Lonchura striata: one gene and its partners. The protein of the gene in region 1 purifies or fractionates together with the protein of each later gene. This does not show direct contact. Links are inferred from orthologs where the notes say so. Each region holds a gene or a part of one and is shown in the gene's direction. Other genes may lie near its edges.

Region 1 (7,336 bases):
TATATGCCACAGTTCAGATAATAATGGTATTGGATTATCAGCTCTAAGATAAAATCCTTAATTCACAATCAAATGCATGAAGCACAGTTTTTCTTAGAACTGCTTATTCAGAGAGAAATTCAGAGACTGAAAACTCACAGGAATTTGGGTGCAATTTTGTGTGCAATTTTCTAAAGCAGCTTTTCCAGGAAAGTCTGGACCTAAAATCCAATGGTACTGGCTGCCTTACTGTTTTTACAGTGATCTTCCAGCACCAGGTGCAGAGTAAGATTGGAAAGCATGTCTGTAATCTCCTGAGCACAATTTTGAACTGCCAGGCACAGTTCTGAGTAAATGAGAGGTAAAATCGTGCTTTCCTGCAAATGCCATATGATTCAAGATTTCATGTACTTTGTGTCCAAAAGCTCCCAGCATAAAACAAAGGAAAATATTAGTAATTTTTTTTCCTCAGAATACATTCTGTTAAATGTATTTTTCAGATACATTTGCAAGTGATGCCACTGGACATTGCTGTACAGAGCGGTGCACAAATAGGATTCAGCAACTGCTCCCTTCCTGCTCTGTGCAGATAACACTAGATTTCATACATGTGGCAGCTCCTATCATTTTCTGTCCAAATCTGGGGGAGGGAAGGATACAGAAGATAGGAGGAAGCAATATTTTATATTGCTATCTGGCAAACTTCTCAGAAACATTGAAGAAATGTTGTTAACACAATTCTGAAAGAAACTGCTGTTCAGCTGAGAGGAAACATGATGCCCAAAGAACCTCTTGGGGAGGAGTGGGTGAAGGTGTGCAGATATGACTTCTGAAGATGAAGAATACAGTACTTCTCTTTTAGATTCATAAACCAAATAAATTTTATTTTGAGGCTTTGAAAACGTGAAAAATCTCTACTCCCTCTTAAAACAAGAAGTGTGTATCAGGTGGCTAAGGTAAACATGATAATTAAAAGGAATAAAAAATAGTTGGAATGTTTTTGTAATTTCTTCCTAGTCATTGTTAGGCTTTCCTGATTAATGCAGTTAGAAATCTTGAACTAAAAGCATTTAGTGTGGAACTGATGTTATCATGCACACTACATTGTTAGGCTTTCAACCAAGAAAAAAAAAATCACTTCTTACTTTATAAAACACCTTTGAAAAAAAAGACCTAGGACAATATAATCTCTGTATGCCTCCTGCAAAGATTTCCCAAAAACATGTATTTGATAGCCTGCTCTATTTGCGAAGTTGTTGCCACTAGTGATAATTGTTGCTGAAAATGCCTCCAGAGCTGAGGTAAATGCCTCAGGGTCACCTCACTCACCCAGGTACAGCTAGGGGCACAGGCTCCCAGCAGGAACAAATGCAAGGTGCACCAACTCAAGGAGCTCCAGAGGACAGTAACTTATAAACACAAAACGTAGTTCTTCCACCAGATGGTTTTCAGTTTGAAGGTTATTTGAAGAACACTGTTTCTTTATCATTCCCCACCAAGTTTGCATAAGTCAAAACATACAAGGTCACTGACTTCCTGTGAGCTTGAAGCTACAGGCAGGCTTTGCTGAACAGAGAACATATTCAGCAAATGTTCTCCGTATCTCTTCTCAGAGTCCATCTTTAGTTTTAAAAATCTGCATAGCAGTATTGGCAGGAGCTTTTCATTTGATGAGGCTCTGCAGACAATCACTTCTTTGTGAACTCTGAGTTACTAGGAACCACTGCAGACCACCTAGCTGCAAAAATACACACCTAGTAAAAATCTGTAGAGAGAAGTCACTTATGTGCAGGGTAAGGCATTTTCTTCTGTTACTGTTTGTTTTTTTCTGAGGTGGAGATATTTATAATAGCATACATTGGGGCTTTAGTACAAAGTGAATAATTAGTCAACTGTGTTTGAAAGCTGATAAGCTTGGCACAGAGCACTATACTTCAAAACTACCAAATGCTTAGATATGTAAACAACCCCACTGAAGCCACTGAGATTTCTTTTATGTCTAATGTTAAGCAAACATCCAGTCCTAATTAACTAGGACACAGCTTGGTAGCAGAAAAGTAACTAATTTTGGAAGTTTGAGAAATTTTGGGTGGTTTCATTAGCAATTTGTGTGTATCTGGCTCTCTGTATTAAGAAATAATAAAGCTTACTGCTAAGAGATATGTTTACTCGCAATCCAAAGGGATTCCTGAGAATATCTTCATTGAGACAATAATTAACAGCAATTAATTGCAAACAGTATTGGAAAGATCCCATTTAAAATATTTTTTTTTCTCAGGATGTTCTCTCGAATGAAAGAAACAGTAATCTTTCCTTCATCCCTCAAATTTGTCAAGTAAGACTTATTTTCAAGAACACCTCACAGTGGAAAACTGTGAAGTGGAGGCTTTAAGCACACAGAGAGGCTGAACAAATCATGACTGTGTTCTTCATTCCCCAGATGGCAAGCAGAGCTCTGCTAAAGCACACTGGGTAGCAGCTGCATATTAAACTTTTCTGGCAGCTGTGCTGACCACAGGTAAAAAATGACACAGACTCAAGCTTATGCTGAAGCCACAAGTTTATCATATTTCACATAGCAAAGCAGCATCTGGAGAAAGGATAGAGGGTGCTTCACAGTTCTATCAGCTGGGGATCCCTAAAGGATACAGTGCTGGGTCTCTGGGTTTCATACCTCTCCCCTTTTTATAAGATGTTCACCAAAGGGCTGGATCAAAATATGCCATGTTGGAAAGATTGTTGCTGAGAAAGTGGAAGAACAGGGTGTCTTAGTACAGAAATGAAGTTACCTTCAGTGAGTTTTGCTTGTAAGGTATATGAGATGCCAGTCTATTGATGGACCACATGGCAAAACTGATGTTAAATACAATAGCTCATCTTTAAGGTGGTTTCCTACAATGCCACTTATGAGCCACACAGAAAGGTTTCACTTTAGGTACTGCTGTTACAGAGAGTAGGAAGTTGGAAATGTTGTATTTAATTGAATTCTGGAAAAGCTAAAACATAAGCAAATGAGTTTGAAAACTTCTGAAGTTAAGCAGTTCAATCACTCAAAAAGTGGTGGCAAATGAACAGCCAGCTTCCTCTTATTTCCTCATCCTCACTTTCCATGGAAACTATTTCACAGGTCCAACTAGGAAAATGTTTTCCAATGTAAAAAACTCTTTTAATAAAGCTCTCACTGTGAAACTATACCAATAGCAGAAAAAAAGCTTGTAATTCTATGGGCAAGGAAATATAGATGTAGACATTTATGCAGTTTCCCTACAGCTCACCTGCCTCCCAGGGCTCTCCCCGGCGTCCCTGGTGATTACACTGTGTATTTCCTTCCACAGAAAGGAAGTCTCCTGATTCCAGGCCAACCACTATAAATGGGGGTGCAGCTAAAGAAGCTGCACTTTTTGGATGATGCAGTACCTTGCATGATCACTGCTACAGTATTTTCAAATTCCCTTTGATTTAGCCTCCCACCTCATCTCTCCTGCAGGCTGGAAGTCAAGTGAGGTCGTAGGTATTTTTTATGAGATGGTCATAGAGTGCCCAACAGGAACGCTGCCGACCTTGAGCAGCTATCTCCTTGGTGCTTTTTGCTGCTGCTAACTGCTGCACACCAAGGCCCGGCCGAAACAGGTCAGGCACGACGTACACCGCCCTGGCAGCCGTGGATGGAGCCTAGCCGAGGGAAAAATTGCCTTCCTTGCTTTGAAATTTCCGTTCAAAGGCATCCGAGGGGCACATACCGCTTTCCTGAGGGCTCTCTCCCCCACGCGAACGAGAATTTGAAGCCGAACTGACTACAAATCAAAGCCCTTGAGGGCATGGGGGGTGGGCGAGGTCGGTCCGTCCGCCCGCCCCCATCGCCCCCGGGACCGGCCGGGGCGGCTCCCCCGGGATCGGCGCGGCGCGGCGGGTGCCTCCCTCCCCCGGCGCTGACGGAAGGGCTGCGGGCAAACAGCCCCGCCAGTGGCCCGGGTGCCGAGCCGAGCCGGCGGAAAGAGCGGCCGAGGCGCGGGCATCGCGGCGCGGCCACATCAGCCTCGGCCTGCCCAGCGCCGGCGCTTGGCTGCTGAGCCGCACAGCGGCCCCCAGGCGGCGGCGGCGGCGGCCGGGGACGCTGAGGAGGAGCCGCCTGCGCGGCCCAGCGGCGGCGGGCGGGCCGGACACACCGACCGAGCGGCCGAGCGGGCGAGCAGCCGCGGCACGGAGCGAGGGAGGGAGCGCAGAGCGGCAGCGCAGCCCGCGCCGGCAGCGCCATGGCCACCAAGGTGAGCAGCTCCGCGGTCGGGGCGCCCTCTGCGCCGGCGGGCCCGGCTGGGCGGGCGGGGGTCCCGGCTGGGCGGGCGGGCTGCGTGCCGGGGCGGGGGCCGGTCCTTCCCGCACCGTGCCCGGCCGCGGGACGGACGGGGGAGCGCCGCGCTCGGGCCTCGGCGCCGCTGCCCGGGCCCTGCTCGGGGCTCGGCGGAGCAGCGGCGACTCCGGGACGGGGGAAAGTTTGCTTTTCTGCCGTGTTTGTGGCCCCTCCGCCCCCACTCCTCGGCGGAATGATCGTAGTGTCCAAGAGCCGCCGGAGGCCGAGGGTGCTGCTCCTGCAGCCCGGGCGCCCCTTGCCCCGCTGCCGCCGAGCCGGGAGCGGCGGGCGCTGGGAGAGGCCTCGGCCACCGGCGGGCCCCGCGGTCCCGGCCCCGCCGCCCCGGCCCGCTCGGCCCCCGCCGCCCCGGCGCGTCAGGGCAGCTGATGCTTCCCCCCTCGGTCCGGGGCCGGCTGTGCCGTGACTGCGGTGGGAGCCCAGAGTCCGCGCTGCGCGGTCTCTTAATAGTAAGCTGTGATTTTACACGCCAAAAAAAAAAAAAAAAAAAAAAAAAAAAAAAAAAAAAAAAAGACAGGAAGTTAAATTTTGTTCAGTTCTTCAACAGTATCTGCTGCTAATGCAACTGTCAAAATTAGCCCATCCTATCTGAAAGCGTCCTCTTTCTAAATCAACAGTATTTGTTTACTATACTGGTTGATGAAAGCATCTCTACTTGTGTAGGTGTGAGTTAACATGCACCAGCAACTCATCTGTGACTTGTCTAAGTATCTCAGGAAGACCTTTTTGGTATTTGAAGTATTACTTTGAGTCACCTGATTCCATTAGCTTGGCCAGCAGTTTTAAAAACTTCCTTTTACTGAGGCAGTTCTCATACAGTGCACTATTTATGTTGCTCTTCTCAGTGCTGAAGAAATTCCGCATCTTGAATGTGTCAGATTTAATGTATAAGTAGCTGTCTCTGTAGCCATGTAAACTGATGGTGGCTCATGTTTGGATAAACTTTTTCCGAAGCACCGAGAACTTGATTTTAGGTTTCAAAATCACTTAGGCAGTTTTAAAATACAATGAATATGGTCAATATAGTGAAATTTATGTTTCTGTTGAGCTTTTAGAATATTGTTGATAGACTTGGTTTATACATTGGTGGGTTCCAGTAATTCATGAGATGTGTGTATGAATATTTTTCACTCAATCTAATGACTGTAGATGGCAAGAAAATTACTTCTGGTGTGTATATACTACATAATGCACAGTATGTTAGGCAGATACTGTATTAAACCAGTGTACTGTTTTTGAGCTCACTTTGAGGTGCAGTGTCCTCATGGGATCTGTGTTCTCTGCCGAACATATGATCCATTTTATTCATACATTTGGAAACTGTCGCTTTGCTTTTCGTTAAATATTTTTTGGAAACATTATGGCCCCAGACGGAAGGGCGTATAATTTCTGACTTCCTTCAAATCTTAATCTAATCCAGACTGGTTTAAAATCAGGTGGTGCAATTTTTTTCATTCTACACATTGCAAGTTATGGTAATGTACTTTGACTTAAAGGCTAAAATGATAAGTGATAGTCAGGAAAGAGTTGGTATTTTATTGCTATTATTTTATTATGCTGGTAACTCTGAGTAGTACTGAAGAGAAGCTTACTTTATTTTCTGTGAGCTCTACTCAGGAGATGGGTCCCTCTCTGCAAACTGCCCTATTTTGGATTTTATTTCATTCACGTTGTGCAAACATCACCAATAGTAAAGGATATATTGTTTTTTGAGCAGTGTGAGGGAGTAACTGGCTGAAAAAACAGTGTTTAGGAGCTCAACCAACTACTCAGTTGGCTCAGTCACCATTTCATTTGGAAAGTAAATTTTGTTTTTTAAATTGTAAACAAATTTCTCACTGTCTGTTTGTGCTCCTTCACAAATTGCCTCTTTTGAAAGAAATATTCAAGGTGTATTTGTATTTTATGTGAAATGTTAACAAAAATTAAACTGTAGTTTTCTGGAGTATGAATTTTTGAACTTTAATGGTGTCAAATACTGTATAGCTGCTAAGGGCGACTGACAGTCTGGCCTGGTCTGTGCTGCACGGGCTGTTAGTGCTTCCTGAATTGATTCCTGTTTAAACTAGAATATACTTTCCAAGGAAAGCTGGGGGTAAATTCAGTCTTGATTTTAATGCTTTCAGTGATAGAAAATCCAGTCTGTGTTTTTTGTTGTTGTTTTTAAATAATCTCTCTTGCTGTTGATGCTTCTTTCTTTTGAATCTGAACTTGCCCAGCATCTGTTTCCAGATTTATCATTTTCTCTACAAGATTTACTTGAATCAAGATTTGCTTGAATCAAGGCGTTAGATTTTGTGAGGATGGAAGATGCAGATAGGGGTTTCTTCCATAGCTAGCTTGTAATCCTTGGCCAGCTTGATAAACCACAGCAATTAAATTCCTAGAGTTTTCATGTATGAAAATGTGGTATACCATTGTGTAATGTGCTGACTCTTTTCTGTACCATTCAAAATCAATGCATTTCTTTTTGAAGCAAGAAAAGCTTTTAGGGGAAAGGACTACTATTTTCATACCAAGAAGCCCTTACTGATGCTTTCCTAGCATATTTGTTAGCTGGCAACTTGGCAGGGAGTCTTTTGTCCAAACAGTTGGGGTGGCTGTAGGCCTTAAGCACTCTGAGGGCTGTGGAGGCTGTGTCTGATGTTGTGAGCTAAATTAGCAGTGGCCATTGCTCCTTGTCCCTTCTTGCTCCTCATCCCATGCTGTATGAATATCCCAGGAGTCTACTCCATACACTTGTCAGGCCTGTTTTCAAGATACAATAAGTTGCTGAAATAGCAAAAATATTCACTGAATGGAAACAGTGGCGCCATTTCTTCAGTTCTGGGTAGTTGCAGTAGTTGAAAGTTTGCTCAGAGCTGACACAGAAGGTTGTGTGGGGTGGTATGGTTGGGAACAGGAGACTTTTATGGAGAAGGGTGAAAATATAAAAGGGAAATGGAAGAGCTGAGGCTTCTAGAGGCAATTCTTCTGTTGGCTAGATCCTTA
Region 2 (7,799 bases), on another chromosome or scaffold:
TCCTCCTTTGCAGGTAAAATGCTTCAAGGCTGGAGTAATTGACACGTAGTAAACATTTCTCTGCTGGCAGCCAAAACACGCAGCTAATGTATATATTTGGCAAGGGTGAATCTGTCGAGAGTTTTGGCAGTGTACTCATGTTTACATCCCTTGCTCCTCACTTCCTTCCCTTGCAGCCTAGGCACGCTGTCAGTGGCGGGATAGAAACAAGTTCTGCCGTCACTTAGCAACCCCCACTGGCACGGAGATGTTGACTTTTTCCTTTCTGGCTTTCCCAGCACAAAAAGAGAGGGGTGTGTAACTCACCCCACGGCTCAGGTGTGAGGCTGTGGCCAGCTGGGGATGCTTTGGGCTGGCCCAGTCCCTTCTCAGAGCATCCACGTCCTGCTGCTGCTCCAGAGAGCGAGACACTGGGAGTTGGTGGGTTAGCCCTGAGTTTCCTGAGCTTGGGTAGAAGGATGCAGAGAGGTTTTTTGGCCCAGGGTGGCTGTGGGCAGGCACTGATGGGGTGCCACATGTACACCCCATATGGTTTCACAGCCCGGGTCCCTGTTCTGGAGAAGAACAGAGAAGAGAATGACACCCCAGTTCCCTCTGGGGAGCAGGGATAAGGGTCATACTGTCATCAGCTCAAAGCACAGCAAGCAGCTGGGAGAGATTTTGCAGCAACAAAAGCTGCAGGGACTGAGCCCTGGGCTGATTCCCTTCAGCTGGGCAGAACATTGGCCACACGGCCTGGGGATTCTGTGTGACATGGTCCAGCACAACAAGGGCTGCAACAGCCACTCCCAGAGGCTGGAAGCACATAGGAAGTGTTTTTGTCCATGGAATCTTCCCTTGGAGAAGCACTTGGCTTATCTGGCTTTGTGGCCAAGGAAGCAGGCATGCTGCCAGGCTGCAGGGAGGGAGTGCAGCTCTTTCCTAGGGTGCTGAGGGCTGCAGGGAAAGATCTCTGCAGGCTGCAATGCAGCACGGTGCCCTTTTTCTACCCTGCAACGGGATGCACCCGACTAAAGAATGCAGCTGGAGGTTACAGGGCAGGAGAGAGGAGACATGGGACAGGGACTGTGTTGTCCTGCGATCAGTGAGTCAGCAGTGCCCCGGGCTGTGGGGGGGAGGCAGAAAGCACATCCTCTTTACACGGAGAAATGCTGCAGCCACCGTGATCACAGGCCTGCAGCCACTCTGGCTTTCTTTCATGGGCTTGAGTTCCATCTTTTGCAGCTTCAAGGTCTGAGCTCTTATCCTGGCAAATGCACAGGCATAATGCTGACAGGCACCTTCATGCAGCTCCACTGCAGAGCCAAGTTCTGCTGAGAACCTGGGAGCTGCCCCTTGCCCACACCTCCCCCTGCTCTGTGCCCATCAGCTGCCTGAAAACTCTGCCAAAACTCTGCGTTCTGACACAAGAAGGAGGTGAGGAAGGTCCCTGGAGCAGGTGTGGAGGAACCTGCCTGTTCTCATGGAAGAGGAGCAGGCTCTGCTGCCCCGGGCAGGGCAGCGTGGCTGGCTCTTCACTGCAGGCGTCTGCAGGTCCCCACTGGGCTGGTTTACGCAGAACTCATTTTCCCTGAAGGGAATTGCACTGCTGTGTGTTTGGGAAGCAGCCTGGGGACCTGGTCCAAATGTCCTCAGTGTTAACATCGCTGCCTGGTTAGGGAGAAGTGTGTGTGTGAGTTTGTGGGTTCAGCTGAACCCTGAAGCCAGGCTATTTTTTGCCATATATTTCTCTGAAAGTCGTGGCAGGACAAGCTTGCTGTCTGTTGCCTTGATCTGAAATGCACCAGAGGCTGTGACTGGGGGCCCCAGGCAGGCTGTGCTGGAGCTGGTGACATGTGACATCAGACCACACTGTTGGAGTCACCTTGGGGATCAGGGCACCCACCCTTCCTGCCATGCCAGGAAAGGTGCTTGGCAGAGGTTTTGTCTCCTTGCTGAGCCTGGCACACAGCAAAAGTAAATGATAAATATTTTATTTTATTGTATTGTATTATTAGGGGCACAACTGAGCACAACAGATTGTGTTTAGCTGGTTAACCAGTGAGCAGGGTAAAACCAGATTGTAATTAGCTGGTTAAGCAGTGAGCAGCACAGCTCTGTGCTCCTGGGGGTCACCCTTACTGCTCCCCCAGAGAACAATTTCTTGCGTGGCCCTCTGACACTGATTTAAGTTTTGTATTTCAGTGTTGTTTGTTACAAGAAGCTTTGCAGTGATCTAGTAGCACCCCTGTTTCTTTAAGTTAGCCACTCTGAATCTTGGCAAATTCAGAAAGCCAGGCTAGGCTCTGCATGGGGATTTGGAACAACTTGCCCAGAGAAATCAGTCAGGAAAAGCAGAGACCTAAAGATATGCTCGGGTGCCTCTCCTCTCTCCTTCTCTGCTTTCTTGGAGGTGTTGGAAAAATGAAGAAAACCTCTCACAAGCATCCATAATGAAATTGTTTGTGCTTTTCCCAGAAGGTGGGGAATCTATAATTGGCTGCTTGTGGCTTTTTTTTTCTTTTTTTTTTTTTTTTTTTTTTTTTTTTGGAGGGAGGAAAATGGATTTTTTTTTTTAAGTGATAGAGTTGTAGGGTGAATGCGGGCAATTAATGACTTTAACTCTGCTTCACAAGACAAAAAAATTTTATTTGGGAACTTCCCAGACTTGGGGGAATAACTCAAACTTTTCCTAATCTTAGTTGTTTTTCTAATTTATTTTATTTTAATCATGGAAGCAGACAAAGCTGTAATTTAAAGACCTCACAGAAAGGACCGTTCCCTGGATTATCAATCTGAAGGTGTGCATGGTGCTGCTCCCCAGGCATGGTGCCTTTCTCAATCTTCATTTGTCTCCTGTGGAGACACAATCCTATGGCCAGGCTGCTCTTCTATGGATCTTAATTATTTCATGGGGGTAGCACAAAGTGCTCTGGACACTCATAATGTTCTTCCCAACTTCCAGCCTCCATAGAAACCCACAAGCTGGAGGAAGGCCAGGCAGCTACTCCAGTGCCTCCTGGCACAGCTTGCTCACCCAGGAGTGGGGAAAGAAATAATCATGCTGCTAATTGGCATAATTATGTCAATAAGTCCCAGGCTCCCAACTAGACAGAAATGATAGCAAGGCTTTCCCAGAGGTTGTGATCTAACTGCAGCAGGGAGGAGAAGCCGTCTCTGCCGATTCAAAACCGTTACTTGTTTCCAGAGTTATAGGTCAGTCTGCTGTAATTTTTTACACTTATTGAGAGCTCTGGCCAAGAAGTTTTGATAATCCTCCAGATCGTTAGTCTCCGTCAGCCTGCAGGGTGTTCACAGCTCCCTTTGTTTTGCTTTTCACGCTGAGCGAGGCCAGTGTCTGCTGTAACAGAGAGGATAACTTTTATCGCTGCACGACTCCAAAGCCTGCCTTTGGGATATTTTCATGATGTGACTGCTGCCAGTAATCGCAGCTAAATCTCATCTCTGTTGTGTGCCTGAGCTTTTAGCTCAGCCTCAGCGTGCATTTTTAATTGAACCCGTGGCAGTGACATGGCTTGGACCTCAGTGTCACTTCCCAGCCTGCTCCTGAGCCATCACCTGCTGCCCGCCCTGCTGGATCCAGCTCCTCCTCGGAAGGTGCCTGACCCTGGCAGCGCTCCTGCCCATGCCTGGGCATTGCACAGCCCTTCCCAGTGGCCAGCTGGGGCTGGGCTCTCAGGGGAGAGGGGCAGCATGGTAGTCTCATGGTCAGCACAGACCTGGGTGAACCGTGCTCCTCGTGTCCAAGGTCCCAGCACGTGGTGTGTCCAAGGTCCCTGCACCATGGTGGCCTTGTCCTCAGGCAGGAACAGAACCACAGATTGGGTCGGGTTGTCAGGGAGCAGTGGGGCATCTGGTCCAATCTCCCATCTCATGCAGGGTCATCCCAGAGCACATGCACAGGACTGTGTCCAGCTGGGATATCTCCAGTGAGGGAGACTCCACAGCCTGTTTGGGCAATCTATGAAAAATAACAAGCAAGCTCTAAGTGATGTCCAGGTAGTAGAAAGACAAATTACTTATTGGTAAAATTGCCTTGTTAAGGTTTAGGGCTTGACATGTTTCAGTTATCTCAGACCTAGGGAGAGGTTACCAAAGGGGGGAAGGGTGTACCACTCCTAGCTGACACAAAGAATGCAGAATTTAGGGGCTACAAGGATATTTGGCAGAACACCCAAAATAAGGAAGCTACTAATAAAAACTGAGCAAATGTGCTGAAGTCAGCTCTAGCTGGGTAAGAGGTAATTCTGGCAGGGGCAAATTGTGACCATTGACTCACAGACCACTGACCCAAAAACCCCCACTAATTTAAGAGACTGAGCATGCAGACTAATTAGTACTGGATGCAAGAGGATCATTAACCAACAGAAGACAGAACACTAATTAATAAGGGAACTAAATAACTTGTAGCCAATAAACATCAACGCCTTTGGTTTGTTAAAGTCCACAAAAAGGGAAAACTTTTGACAGTTGTCGTGCTGGCTTTGTGGATTTGTCACCGAGCCATCTTTCTGTGCAGAACTACAAATAAATCCAACCCCTTGACTCTGAGCGTGGATGGGCCTTTGGCACAACGGGGGGAAGAGCAGATTTTGGGACAACCGTGGGACATGGTGGGACCGGCAGCGGGACCCGCACCGGAGGGGGCGTGGCCGCCCACGGAGCCCCGCCCCCAGGCCCGCGGAGGGAGGGGCGCATGCGCAGTGCGCCGGCCGTTACCTGTCAGCGGCGGCGGGCGGAGGAGGCGGCGGCGGGATGGAGGGGCTCATCCCGCTCGTTAACCGGCTGCAGGACGCCTTCGCGGCGCTGGGCCAGAACTGCCTGCTCGACCTGCCGCAGATCGCGGTGGTAGGCGGGCAGAGCGCTGGCAAGAGCTCCGTGCTGGAGAACTGCGTCTCCAGGTGAGGGGCGGCGGGCACGGCAGCCCCGCGCCCCCCGCTGCCCCACACGGCCCGCGCTGTTCCCAGCGGCCGCGGCGCGCGCCCCCTCAGAGCGGCTGGCGGGGGGAGCGGTGTCGGGCGGGGATGGACCAAGGCGGGTTTGGGGGACAGCTCGCGGCTCCGAGCCCACCGTGGGTGCTCGGTCCCCACCGAGGATGCTCGGTGTCCCTCTCCCCGCGGTGCCTCGGGCCCGGCAGCGCCCGTGATGCGATGTGCGCGCTGCGGGGAAGCCGCCGCGGCTCCGGTGCGAGCGCCCGCTCCGGGTGTGCGGGGGTGCCCGCTGCCTGAGAGGAACGAGGTGTTTACAGCCCAAACCCTAATTTCGGTGGGATGCTGGCTCTGGGCGGCTCATTCCTCCCATCCCATCGCATATAAATTCGCGCCGTCCCAACGCGCCTGTGGGTATTCGAATTGTGGCGTCGCTAAGGTTGGAAAAGACCTCCAAGATCGTCAAGTCCAACATGCGCACCGTTTCTAACGAATCACTGACAGGAAAAGGGAAGCCTGACAATTCAGGCTGTGCTTTTTGACGGCCAGGCAGTGCCTCTGGAGACATCCCGAGGTAAACATGGGCTTCACGTGCCGTTTGAGGAAGTTCCTGCTGCGTTTGCCTCAGAGAGCCGCGGAGGGAGGTGATGCTCCCGCAGCGGTGCTGCGATCCTAGTCCGGATTATACGGTCGAAATACTGGTGCGTATGATACAAGGACTTTGATGTGCGGAGGTCTTCAGCAAAGGTAATATTAAATGCTGTGACACTCCACAACCTGGCCATGTGTCAGACTGCGATAGCTCTTGATACCCGGTATAAAAATGCTGTATAGTGGTTCTTTGGCTCTCCCTCAGAACTGACTGTGTTAAATGTCAGTTCTTCCTCTTCTTTCTCCTTGAAGACTGCAGCTAGCTACTGGTGTTGACAGTACTGGCGAGTCTCTCAAGTTTGGAAAACATAAATGAGATCCTCGGAAAGCACAATTGGCTATCAAATTATTACTGTTCTCTTCAAACGAGTCCATAAAAAGTATTTTGGTAACCTTCTGACTTCTTGAGCTATGTGTCCACAAAGCTGTGCAAAGCACATGTGCTGAGGGGAAAAAGTACCTTCATTTTTCTTGTCAGTGAGGCTGTTTTGGTCCCTGGGGTCGGGGCTGAGTGAGTGGGCTGTGGGCTGGTGTTGGTCTCTGGCTCCAGCTGTGCTGATGGAAGATCATACTGCTCCCAGATGCTCGTCACTGCTCGGCTGCCAGAGGGATCTGCTCCATCGGATCTGCAGGTGGAGCTGCTCTTTTGAGCCGCCTGGATGTGCCTGGCTGGAGCAAAAGGTGAAAACAGCAGTTTGTGCTGATCCGGCCTGTTTAGCCAGGAGGCTGGAACCAGCTGCACGAGTGAGATGTGGGCACTTCTAGGAGGAATTAGGAAGGAGAGGTAAGGGCAGTAACTGTTTTACTCGTGTAGTTATTCACTGTGCAGCCTGCAGAAACTTCACAACAGTCTCTTTAGAGAAGAGATTACAGGCTGCTATGAAACACCAGAATGTCTCTGTCACATGGGATTTGGAATTTGGATTCTGTCAGCCTGGTTTCAGAGTTCCACATCGTTGTTTTATGGAGTAACTTCTTGAGATTCAGCATGAGCCGATCTGTAGTACCTCCTGACTTGCTACCTTAGAACCTGTTTTAAAAATTACATGAAACTACATAGTTTCAAACCTATTTCAGGAGACTTGAGCACGGATATTTTGTTTGCGCCTTTCCTCCAGGCTGAGTACGTGTGGTCAGCAGATGTGCCCTGGCTAAGCTGTGAAAACTTGGTTGTGAACCCTCAGAACCAGATTAATAAATATCCATGAGCTCAGAAGAGGATTTTGCTTGTTAAATCAGCAGACAAATGGCCTGTGTCTCTTTTTAGTAAGCCATAGGGTATTCCTGTTTTTATGGGATAATGAAGCTGCTCTCTGCAAACAAGTTTGTTTCATCCACATCTGTCTTAATATGGCTTGTAGAGGTAGAAAGTCTCCCTGTAGAACCATGCTGCCCTAATTTCTCTTTGTTGCTGGTATACTGAATGACCTCTGGCAACCACAGGGCCAACTTTAACTAATACTAACACAGCTTTGAAATTGACACAAAAATAAAACAGACCTTGCATTGCTCTGAAGTTTCAGCATTAATTCTCATGGCTTTTGTTTAGTATTTTTGGTTTGGATTGTTTTGTGGTTGTGAGTTTTTTTTGTGTTTTGTTGGTTTCATTTTGGGTTTGGTTTTTTTTTTACCACATGAATCATTATCATTAGTAGATTTTGAACTCTTAGCCTTCAGAGAGATATTGAAGATCTCTTTTCTTCAAGAATAGCTGTAATTGGTATGAGGAAGGCACGGTATCCTCCAGGGTCTTGCTACAACCGTGCTGCTGGTTGTTAACATGTATTGTCGGTAGAGCTGGGGTGAGGTTGGCAAGGCAGTTTTAACTCTAGGATCAGGTTGTTATTCCTGCTCTCTGTAGCCACTATAGCACTATGGGTGGGGTGTTTCAGTCTTCCACAAGACCTTTGGTTGTGCAAAGATTACGTTTTTTTTGCACTTGGACAGTAGAAACTATTTTCTGACAGGTGGTATCGAGGGTTACAGCTTCTTTATGGCTCCTAGGAAACATGGTGGCCTGTGGAGGGTTATCCACTATCTCGTTTATGCACTCACTGCCATCATTTTTGGGAAGGGTTGTGAGGAATCTGGTGTGGCACAGTTGTGTGGGCTGGCAGATGGCCTGGGAGTGGGAGCCAGGTCCTGCTGAATAACACATATCCATCACTGCCTCCAGGGTAGCAGCAAGGTCTGTTCAGGCGCACACAGGATCCTTAATGA
Region 3 (8,174 bases), on another chromosome or scaffold:
GTTGTTTTTTCCTGCAAAGAACATCTCCCTTTCAATAATTAAGCATCTCACTACTCAGTGTGCAGTGGCAAATACATAATGGGAGAATACACAGAACTTCAAAAAGAGGCACAATGCAGACTACAGCATTATCACTCAAAACCAACCCATGTATCCCCTAGGCTTGGGAGTGCCTCATTGGCAATGGGAATGAATGAAACAGAGTAAGATTTAGAAGTTCAAGCTAAGAGAAGGACCAGAGAACATCCTGCATTGCAGAGACTGTAGTCAGTGGAGTTGTTGGATCATGACTGTAAGGCAACCTGCACTACACCTCTGTATGATTAGATCAGGGTTATGAAATCCTTTGGCAGATAAGAGGACAGAGCATATGAATGCTTTTTATTCAGGAGCTGGATTGTATTATACAGCCAAGTTCTTGCTGGGCTATATGAATTTTTTTCCAGGGATCAGGCATGCAGATAACCAGAGATTTCTAATTTCCAGCATATGACTGCACTGTGCAGTTTTATGTTTTAATTTTGGCTTTGAAAAAGACTTGGTATGCAACCCTTGGTGAAGCCACATCACTTTTGAAAACCCAAGTTTCTCAGCGCCTATGACAGCACCAACATACTGCAGTGCCCACAATTTCCTCTGCAATCTGCAAGGATGGTGTGATTACTCATCCATTTCACCAGGATATAACTAGTTCTCACCATAATGTATTTAAGCCCCACAAACTTCTTGGAGAAAAAGCATATGGAGCTTTAAAGTACTTTCTTTTCCTAGTTTGGGGGTCTATGTATTGAAAGAATGGGTCAGGTTTCACCAGACATGGTCTTAACAGCTGATATTAGTTACTGGAATTACACTGTTTTTCCATGTCTGTTTTAGCTGGAGGATGACTGGATTCACACAACATTTCAAACCAAAATGATCTGTGCATTAAAGGATGTTTTCCCTCATTCTTTGTAATGTAGTTCTAGAAACCTAGTCCTAGTCCTTGACAGGCCCACAAGAGGTAAAAATAGTTTTTACATCCATTTTACCATGTGGTCAATCAGCTCCTATTAGCGACTTTCAGTCTCACAAGCTAAAATATATACCAGGAGCTATTTTATGACATCTACAGGATGCAGAAAGCACAGAGAACTCATCTTTGTTGCTCTTAAAATATTAATTTAAAATCACATCCATGCACAGATCCCATTCTTAATGGAGTATAACATTCAGCTTCTTTCTTTCCTTATGTATACTCTGGCTTCTGGCAAGTTACACTCACAATAATACTGTCCTAGTGTCTTATACACCAGATTTACCTTCTTTTACCTCTTTTTGGGGGATTTTCACACCAATTCAGTTTAAGCACAGAAGATGCAGAAGCATCTCACTATGTTATTCTACAAAGAAAAGCATTCTATTTGAAAACTCAAAAATTAAAGACTGCTTTTCTTTCAAATAGCTTTTGCAATTAATAGGAGCATTAGAAATCAACTTTTTTTCTCTGAGTAACTGATACCACAAGAGATTGATGATGTTACTGTGGTACCATTGCTACTATAGTAGCACTTTAGTACCTAGAAAATAGATACTTAAGCGTTTTCTATCTCTATATGCAGCTTTAGATAGTTATGGAAATGTAAGAGGCTAATTTTAGTTAATATTTTTAACTATTGATCAGCTGTATCATGTAGTATTAGTATGGACAATGACAATCCTAGACCAGTTTCTTTTTGGAACTTTTAACCATTCAATTAAAATTTTTACCTGTGTTTATAACCATTTTTAGGAACCCCAAAGGCCAGAATTATCCACTTCAAGACCCACAGTGAAATGTTCTAAACATTCACACTACCTGGAGTCAGCAGAAACAGTTTGCAAGGAACTTAGAAACTCACAAGCTAATTGCTTTCCACATTTTTGCCTCTTTTTTCCTCTGAGGACTAGATATGTTATTTTTGCAAGGGCAAGGAATGAAGGACAGAATCCAGCTCTCAAATGTCTATTTCTAATTATGCTAACTAAACTGGGAGTCCTATTTGCATGAGGTGACAAAATCAGCATACACAACTGTGGTTATGTTGATAGCCATACATAGAAACACACATATGCTTGGCCACATGCATTTTTAGGGATTCATGTTAAAGTACATTCAGAAATATTTATAGCACAGGGCGGGGGGAATCTTTCATTCCTCTTGTTTTTCTTTGCTCACATCTTCAGTTTTTCTACTAAGATAAAAAAATAGATTTTTCCTATTCATTCCAGTTATTGAAATTCCTTTTGTTTTTCCTGCTCTGTCTGCTAAATGCTGCTGAGTAAGTCACAGGTAGGAGGTATTACAGAATCAAAAGGTATGTTTGCTGAGACATCCCTGCAACTCAGTTTGTGGCAGGGGAGAAAATGGAAGGCTCTAGGAGCGATTCCGAGTGCCTGCAGTTCGCTTTTTCATCAGAGGGAGGAGTAGGTTCGTAAAGCTTCAGAAAATCCAAGCCTCGCTGTCTGGGATGCTCGGGGTCAGTCTCTCTGGGCTGGGCGGCTGCAGTCGCTGCAGAAGCGTCCAGACTTCACACTGTAAATGAGTGGTTTAGGGTGATGCTGCAGGCAGACACACTGGAGCTCATCTGCTTACAAAAAGCTCTGCAGGACAAAGAAGCTGGAGCAGATTCTGTGCATCTCTCAGTTTTACACTAATACTGATCCATGCAAAATTCGCCAATATTTCTGCATGTTTTTCCAATTCCATAATTTCTTTTATTGCTTTCTTGTGTGCCTGGAGAGCACCCTATTAGCTCCTCTCATCCCTCCTGTCCAGTTTTGCCCTTTAAGATTTCAATAATGCCAAAACCCCTCATATATCCCCCAAAGGACCACATTTCCTAAGAACTAAGTATTAGTTTAATGGAAAAATAAAACTAGATAGTGTAGGAAAAATCACCTGCAAAGAAGTCATGCATGAGCCTTTATACTGTATGAGCTCCTTAACTGGCAATATAAATCTTATTTTTCCCCTCAGTCTTCAACATCAGCTGTTGATATATTATATTTTCAATAGTCTGTCACAAACATTTCTCAAAGAAAATGGATTAGTTTCATTTTAGCTTTTCCAAAAGAAATATCACCTGAATGATTAGTTCTAGAGCTGACTCAACCAGAACAAAATATCTACCCAGTGTACATGGGGATGAAGCTAAGGAGTCAACCTATGTGTGAAAGCCAGACCCAAAGACTCCATAGACTGCAACCAGAGACAAACACGTCTCCATAAGTCAGCAGGACTGATGGCCCACCCAGGTCCACAGATGTGGGGGGAAGCCCCAGGTGAGGCTGGCCATGGCCACTGAGAGTTTTTAGTACAGCTGGTAAATTGTGTGAGGTGACTGAAGTGATGCAACTGGGCAGTCTTTGTATTGCAGTTGGTGAACTTCACGGTACAGCGAGCCCTGGGAAAAGGTCAGTTTTCTGCTTTTGGTTCCTCAAATAAAGCTTCAAAGATCCTCATGGTCTAAAGTTCCCTGAGCTTCAGCTCTGATCCAGGGAGGAAGGTGACATCATTATTTGAGCCTTTGATACTCTTCACTGTTCTTTTTGTGGTGACCTCTTACAAGGAGCAGCTATCTATAGCAGTTTTTTTCCAGAATCCTTCAACATAAATTATCTGAATGGCTGCAGGGATGCTCAAAGGCTTTTGTCCACAGTCTATATTGAATTCCTTAAGCTTATTTCTTGAGATTTACTGGGTAATTTGCTGAGAGGAAAAAATAGCATTGACAGCCCCCAAAACTGCCCACGTATGCCCTACAATGGTGTTACCCGTACAGATGGAGCAGCTCCCTTCCCTTCCTTCAGTGTTCTTACCTGCACATTGGTGATGTGCTAGAGCATGGGGCAAATTCATCCCTCACCATGGTTGCCTCAGTTTCTCTGTATGTCCACATAGGTATTTTTGCATGGATTAAATTTGATGGACACCTGTGAAATAGTCATTATAATTATTATAACTAAAAAGCTGCTGTACAAAACAAAACAGACAGCTCAAAATCTGTTGCAGTTTTTTGTACTTCATTTCCCCCTCCACCCCCATCCCTCTCTGAGCTGTGAATAGGAGTCTTGGGTAGCACGAACTGAGGGGTGTTTGAAATGCGACACTCTCCATCCTTCTGAGTCATTGCTAGCCATCAGATGCTTTTTTGAACACTTGTTTTCATTGCTGTACTTTGAAATCAAATATGGCCTCATGTTATATTCTTATTAAAAATCTATCCCTTTTAAAAACCATAAAACCAAGCTGTTCCCTCTTTATTGCAGACAAGTAATTTTAAAAACAAAATCTGGGTGCATAAAATGAAGCACCTGTTTGTGTTTCTCTAAAACAAGCCTGGCAACACATCCACTGTTTTACAGCTATAAACAGAAATTGATACATTTTACATCTGTGTTTGAATGAAGCATCAGAATCATAGAATGGGTTGGAAGAGACCTTAAAAAAAAAATTCTTATTTTAACCTCTGCCATCTTATTCTAGCCAGATGCTCAGAGAGTGGTAGCATTTTTGCAAAGCTCCAGTTTAATAATCTCAAGTGTTTCTTGCATTTTGGTGATTTCACAAGTGCTGTCTCCACACAAAGCCCTCCCATACAGGTGCTGTGACCAAGCCATGGCGCACTGAGTAAACGTTGCGGCTGTGAGGATCACAAAGTGCAGGTGTAGGAGCCGAGCCAAGTGGGTTCTTCCAGCACATCTTCCCTGCCCGCTGCAGCGCTGCACGGCTGGCGGCAGTGACCGCCACAGGGCTTCGGCACCGTGCGGGGCTCACCCACAGGTACACCGGGACTGACTGCGGGGCCAGCACACCCACACCGGCTGGGCCACGCCGGTGTGCCAACCTGCCGCACACAGAGGCAGCCCCGGGTAACCTGCACTGCTCTGGTTCTGGGAGCGAGCCCCGTTCCCAGGTCTCTGGGCACAGACACCAGGGCCGCGCCGCCCCGATCCCGGCCCCCTCGGCCCCTCACGGCCGCCGGACTACATCTCCCGGGATGCAGCGCGGCGCCGGTACCTTTAACGCCCCCTGGCGGCAGCACGGGGCGCTCCACAGGCGCGGCGGGCGGGCTGAGGCGAGCGGAGCCCGGGCGGCGTCGAGCGGGGCGAGGGGCGCGGGCTGGAGCCGCTGCCCACCGGCCCCACAGCCGGGGAGGGCTGCGGGAAGGGTTAGTGCGAGCTCGCCTGTGCCAAGAGCCGCGCCGCAACCATGGGGAACCGCGGGATGGAGGATCTCATCCCGCTGGTCAACCGGCTGCAGGACGCCTTCGCCGCCATCGGGCAGAACGCCAACCTCGACCTGCCGCAGATCGCCGTGGTGGGGGGGCAGAGCGCCGGCAAGAGCTCCGTGCTGGAGAATTTCGTCGGGAGGTGAGCGGGGGTGTCCCCGGGGGCGCGGGCAGAGCTGCCGCATGGCCAGCGCGGTGCGGGGGCAGCGCGGTGCGGGAGCAGCGCGGGCAGAGCCGCCGCACGGGCAGCGCGGTGCGGGGACAGCGCGGGCAGAGCCGCCGCACGGGCAGCGGCTCCGCACGGGCAGCGGCTCCGCACGGGCAGCGCGGTGCGGGAGCAGCGCGGGCAGCGGCTCCGCGCGGGCAGCGGCTCCGCACGGGCAGCGCGGTGCGGGCGCTCTGGCCGCGGTGCGGGGACCGCGCGGAGCGGGGACTGCGCTCCGCTCGCGGCTACTCCGCTCGGCGCGTGTGTGGTGCGCGGGCAGCGCTGCAGGACGCCCGGGCGCTGCGGTGCAGGGGTACGGGGAGGCGCGGGAGGAAGGCAGGGAGGGAGGGCTCGCTCCCCGCCTGGGGGCATTCCGCAGCGGGGTCCCCGCCACTGCCGCACCTTGGCGGCCGGTGGCAGCCCCCCCTCGTCCTGGTGTTACATAACGGAGGAGGCTGAAGGGGCTGTGGGGGCCGGCCCCATCCGTCCCCTGCTCGGTGCGGGGCTCAGAGATGGATGTTGTCGCTGCGGGGGGAGTGATGCGGAGGGTGTTTAAGTTTAATCTGCTCCGTCCCCCTCCCCCAGCCCAGGCTCGCTGTCCTCCATAGCGGATGCCATGTCAGGAGCTGCGGGGAGGCTATAGGAAGGACGGGGTTATAGCTATCCTATATGCTCAAATCCCCGGGTGCTACCATTTTGTGGCAGGCAATATACTGATGCTTTCCCTTCATGTGACCTTCGCATTCATCATCTGCAACTTGAGTAAATTGCAGACCGCGCTGCTTGGGTATCTCCTCCAGTGCAGACACACAACACCTGGAGGGAGGGGGGGAACGTTCCTCACCTTTTTTCTGGCCTTGTTAATTAATTGTATTAAGTTATATACGGGTTTTAGTTATCAAAGTGGTTTTTTATGCTGTAAGGAGCACGCAGGTTTCTGGGGACTTGCCTTAAGAGCAGTGATTGCTGATACCTGGTCAGATGCTTGCGTGGGCTTTTCTCTTTCAGCAAACTGCATTTGTGACAACATCTACTGGATCTCATTTCCCAACCCCCACTTTTTCTTTTAAGCTGTTTGCTGTTCGATGGCTTATAGGGCTTTTCCACTGTCAGAAGGGTCTGTGGTGTGGATTAACTGCTTGCTTAGCTGCAAGTAGCCAAATTCTGGACCCGTGCAAGGGTATCTTTGAGCAGTGAGTGCTGGGTGTACTAGGAGGAAAGCTCAGGGGTTACATCTGGTACAAAGAAAGCATGGTCAAAATAAAATGTTTTCTTCTCTGCCATAGATCAAAGAGTTTTGAAAAAATAAGAATATAAAATTTGAAGAGTTTGGTATCTCTTCTAGCTAACTTCCAAAGGTCCATGCAGTGTATCCCTGAGAGATGCTGGGATCATGCCAAGGGCCAGACATTGCAGAAACACATTTTACTGAGTCTCAGGTCATAGTCCAGAATCCACTTGTTTGTCCACAGTCACAGAAAAGAAATAAAATTCCTGCCACCCAAGTGAGAAACTTGCTGGGCTGTGGCTTTCGAAGAAGGGGAAAATGGATCTTCTGAAGTCTTTGAGCAAAATGGGTTCACCTGTTGGCCCTGCTGTTTTCATGCTTTCTAAGTACTGGCAGTCAAAGCTCATAAATCCTTTTTAGAGGATCTGTGCAGGCAGTGCTGCAGTGGTGTCGTAGATAATGTCGGGCTGCTGGGCCAGAGGGGGATTTGTTGGAGGAAGGACAGTCAGTGTATTGGGGTAAACTGCTCCTCTCCTTTAGACCAACCACACAAGAGGATTTACTAATCCTTGATGCATCTACACTGGCACTAATTTAGAATGGCATTTTATCTGCTTGGTGGAAAATATATGAATTCAATTATCTTCTGTCTCTTTCTGATGACTCCAGTCACAGGAGAACTTATGACCTCACCGTGTCCCATCAGCTGTCTCTCTAGCAGCAAGTTACAGCGCTGTGGCTTTTCGAAAATGAAATAATTAAAGGTCCCCTGAGCAGGAGCTGAGAGCTGTCGGTAGAAAAGCATTTAGAGGAAATAATTGGAGGGGAAATGGAAAATGTCAGTGTGAAAAGGTCTTTCTCCATTTGATACCCCTGAGTGCTGGCTAGTTTAGACTGGTAACTTGAGACCTCTTACCACATAATGTATGTGTATATGCTGCAAATCCCAATCCTGTTAAAATAGTGTTGGGGCCCTGCTGTAATGTATAGTCTCTTTTCTTTCTCTGTGGGTATTGGTAACCATGATAAGGAGCTATGGAAATAGTATCCAGAATGAGCATGGTTCTTCAGTGTAATTGTGATAGGGGATGTTTTCTTGTCTGAACAGCCATAAGAAGAAACTGTGTGTAGACCTACTGTGTACAAATACAATTATTGCTGTAGTGTGGACATGACATATGTCACTGCTCCTGCTTGATACCAGGATGGTGGTGCAGCTATTGCTCAGCAGCTGCTTGCTGCACAGGGAATGTGAGTACTGATGAGTTTCTCTCTGAGCGGATGGAAATCTGTGCAAGACCAAATGCTGATGTGGTTGGTACTGGCTGATTAGCATGATGCAGACACTTCAGCACAGGGGCTGGAGGCCCTGCCAGGGCTGGTTTCTCTGCTCAGGACCTGTGGGGCTCCTTTCAAATTGTCATCAAATCACGTTTCCCTAACAGGACAGCACACCTGCCCCCTGCCAGACCTGTGTTGTGGCAGGGCT

Evidence for each region.
Region 2: the proteins of SNX9 (region 1) and DNM3 purify together in Homo sapiens (co-immunoprecipitation; 3 studies listed by BioGRID and IntAct, counting the BioPlex papers as one, with this or other methods). This does not show direct contact. The link is inferred for Lonchura striata from reciprocal best matches to the Homo sapiens genes SNX9 and DNM3.
Region 3: the proteins of SNX9 (region 1) and DNM1 purify together in Homo sapiens (co-immunoprecipitation; 6 studies listed by BioGRID and IntAct, counting the BioPlex papers as one, with this or other methods). This does not show direct contact. The link is inferred for Lonchura striata from reciprocal best matches to the Homo sapiens genes SNX9 and DNM1.

The regions. Positions count from the first base shown.
Region 1 is NC_134605.1:54,035,951-54,043,286, reverse strand, and holds the start of SNX9 (sorting nexin-9), read left to right. Parts: upstream 1-4,100; 5' UTR 4,101-4,232; coding exon 4,233-4,244; intron 4,245-7,336. UniProt on the Homo sapiens protein: Involved in endocytosis and intracellular vesicle trafficking, both during interphase and at the end of mitosis. Required for efficient progress through mitosis and cytokinesis. Required for normal formation of the cleavage furrow at the end of mitosis.
Region 2 is NC_134611.1:587,172-594,970, reverse strand, and holds the start of DNM3 (dynamin-3), read left to right. Parts: upstream 1-4,695; 5' UTR 4,696-4,755; coding exon 4,756-4,901; intron 4,902-7,799. UniProt on the Homo sapiens protein: Microtubule-associated force-producing protein involved in producing microtubule bundles and able to bind and hydrolyze GTP. Most probably involved in vesicular trafficking processes, in particular endocytosis.
Region 3 is NC_134624.1:506,470-514,643, forward strand, and holds the start of DNM1 (dynamin-1), read left to right. Parts: upstream 1-5,070; 5' UTR 5,071-5,233; coding exon 5,234-5,394; intron 5,395-8,174. UniProt on the Homo sapiens protein: Catalyzes the hydrolysis of GTP and utilizes this energy to mediate vesicle scission and participates in many forms of endocytosis, such as clathrin-mediated endocytosis or synaptic vesicle endocytosis as well as rapid endocytosis (RE).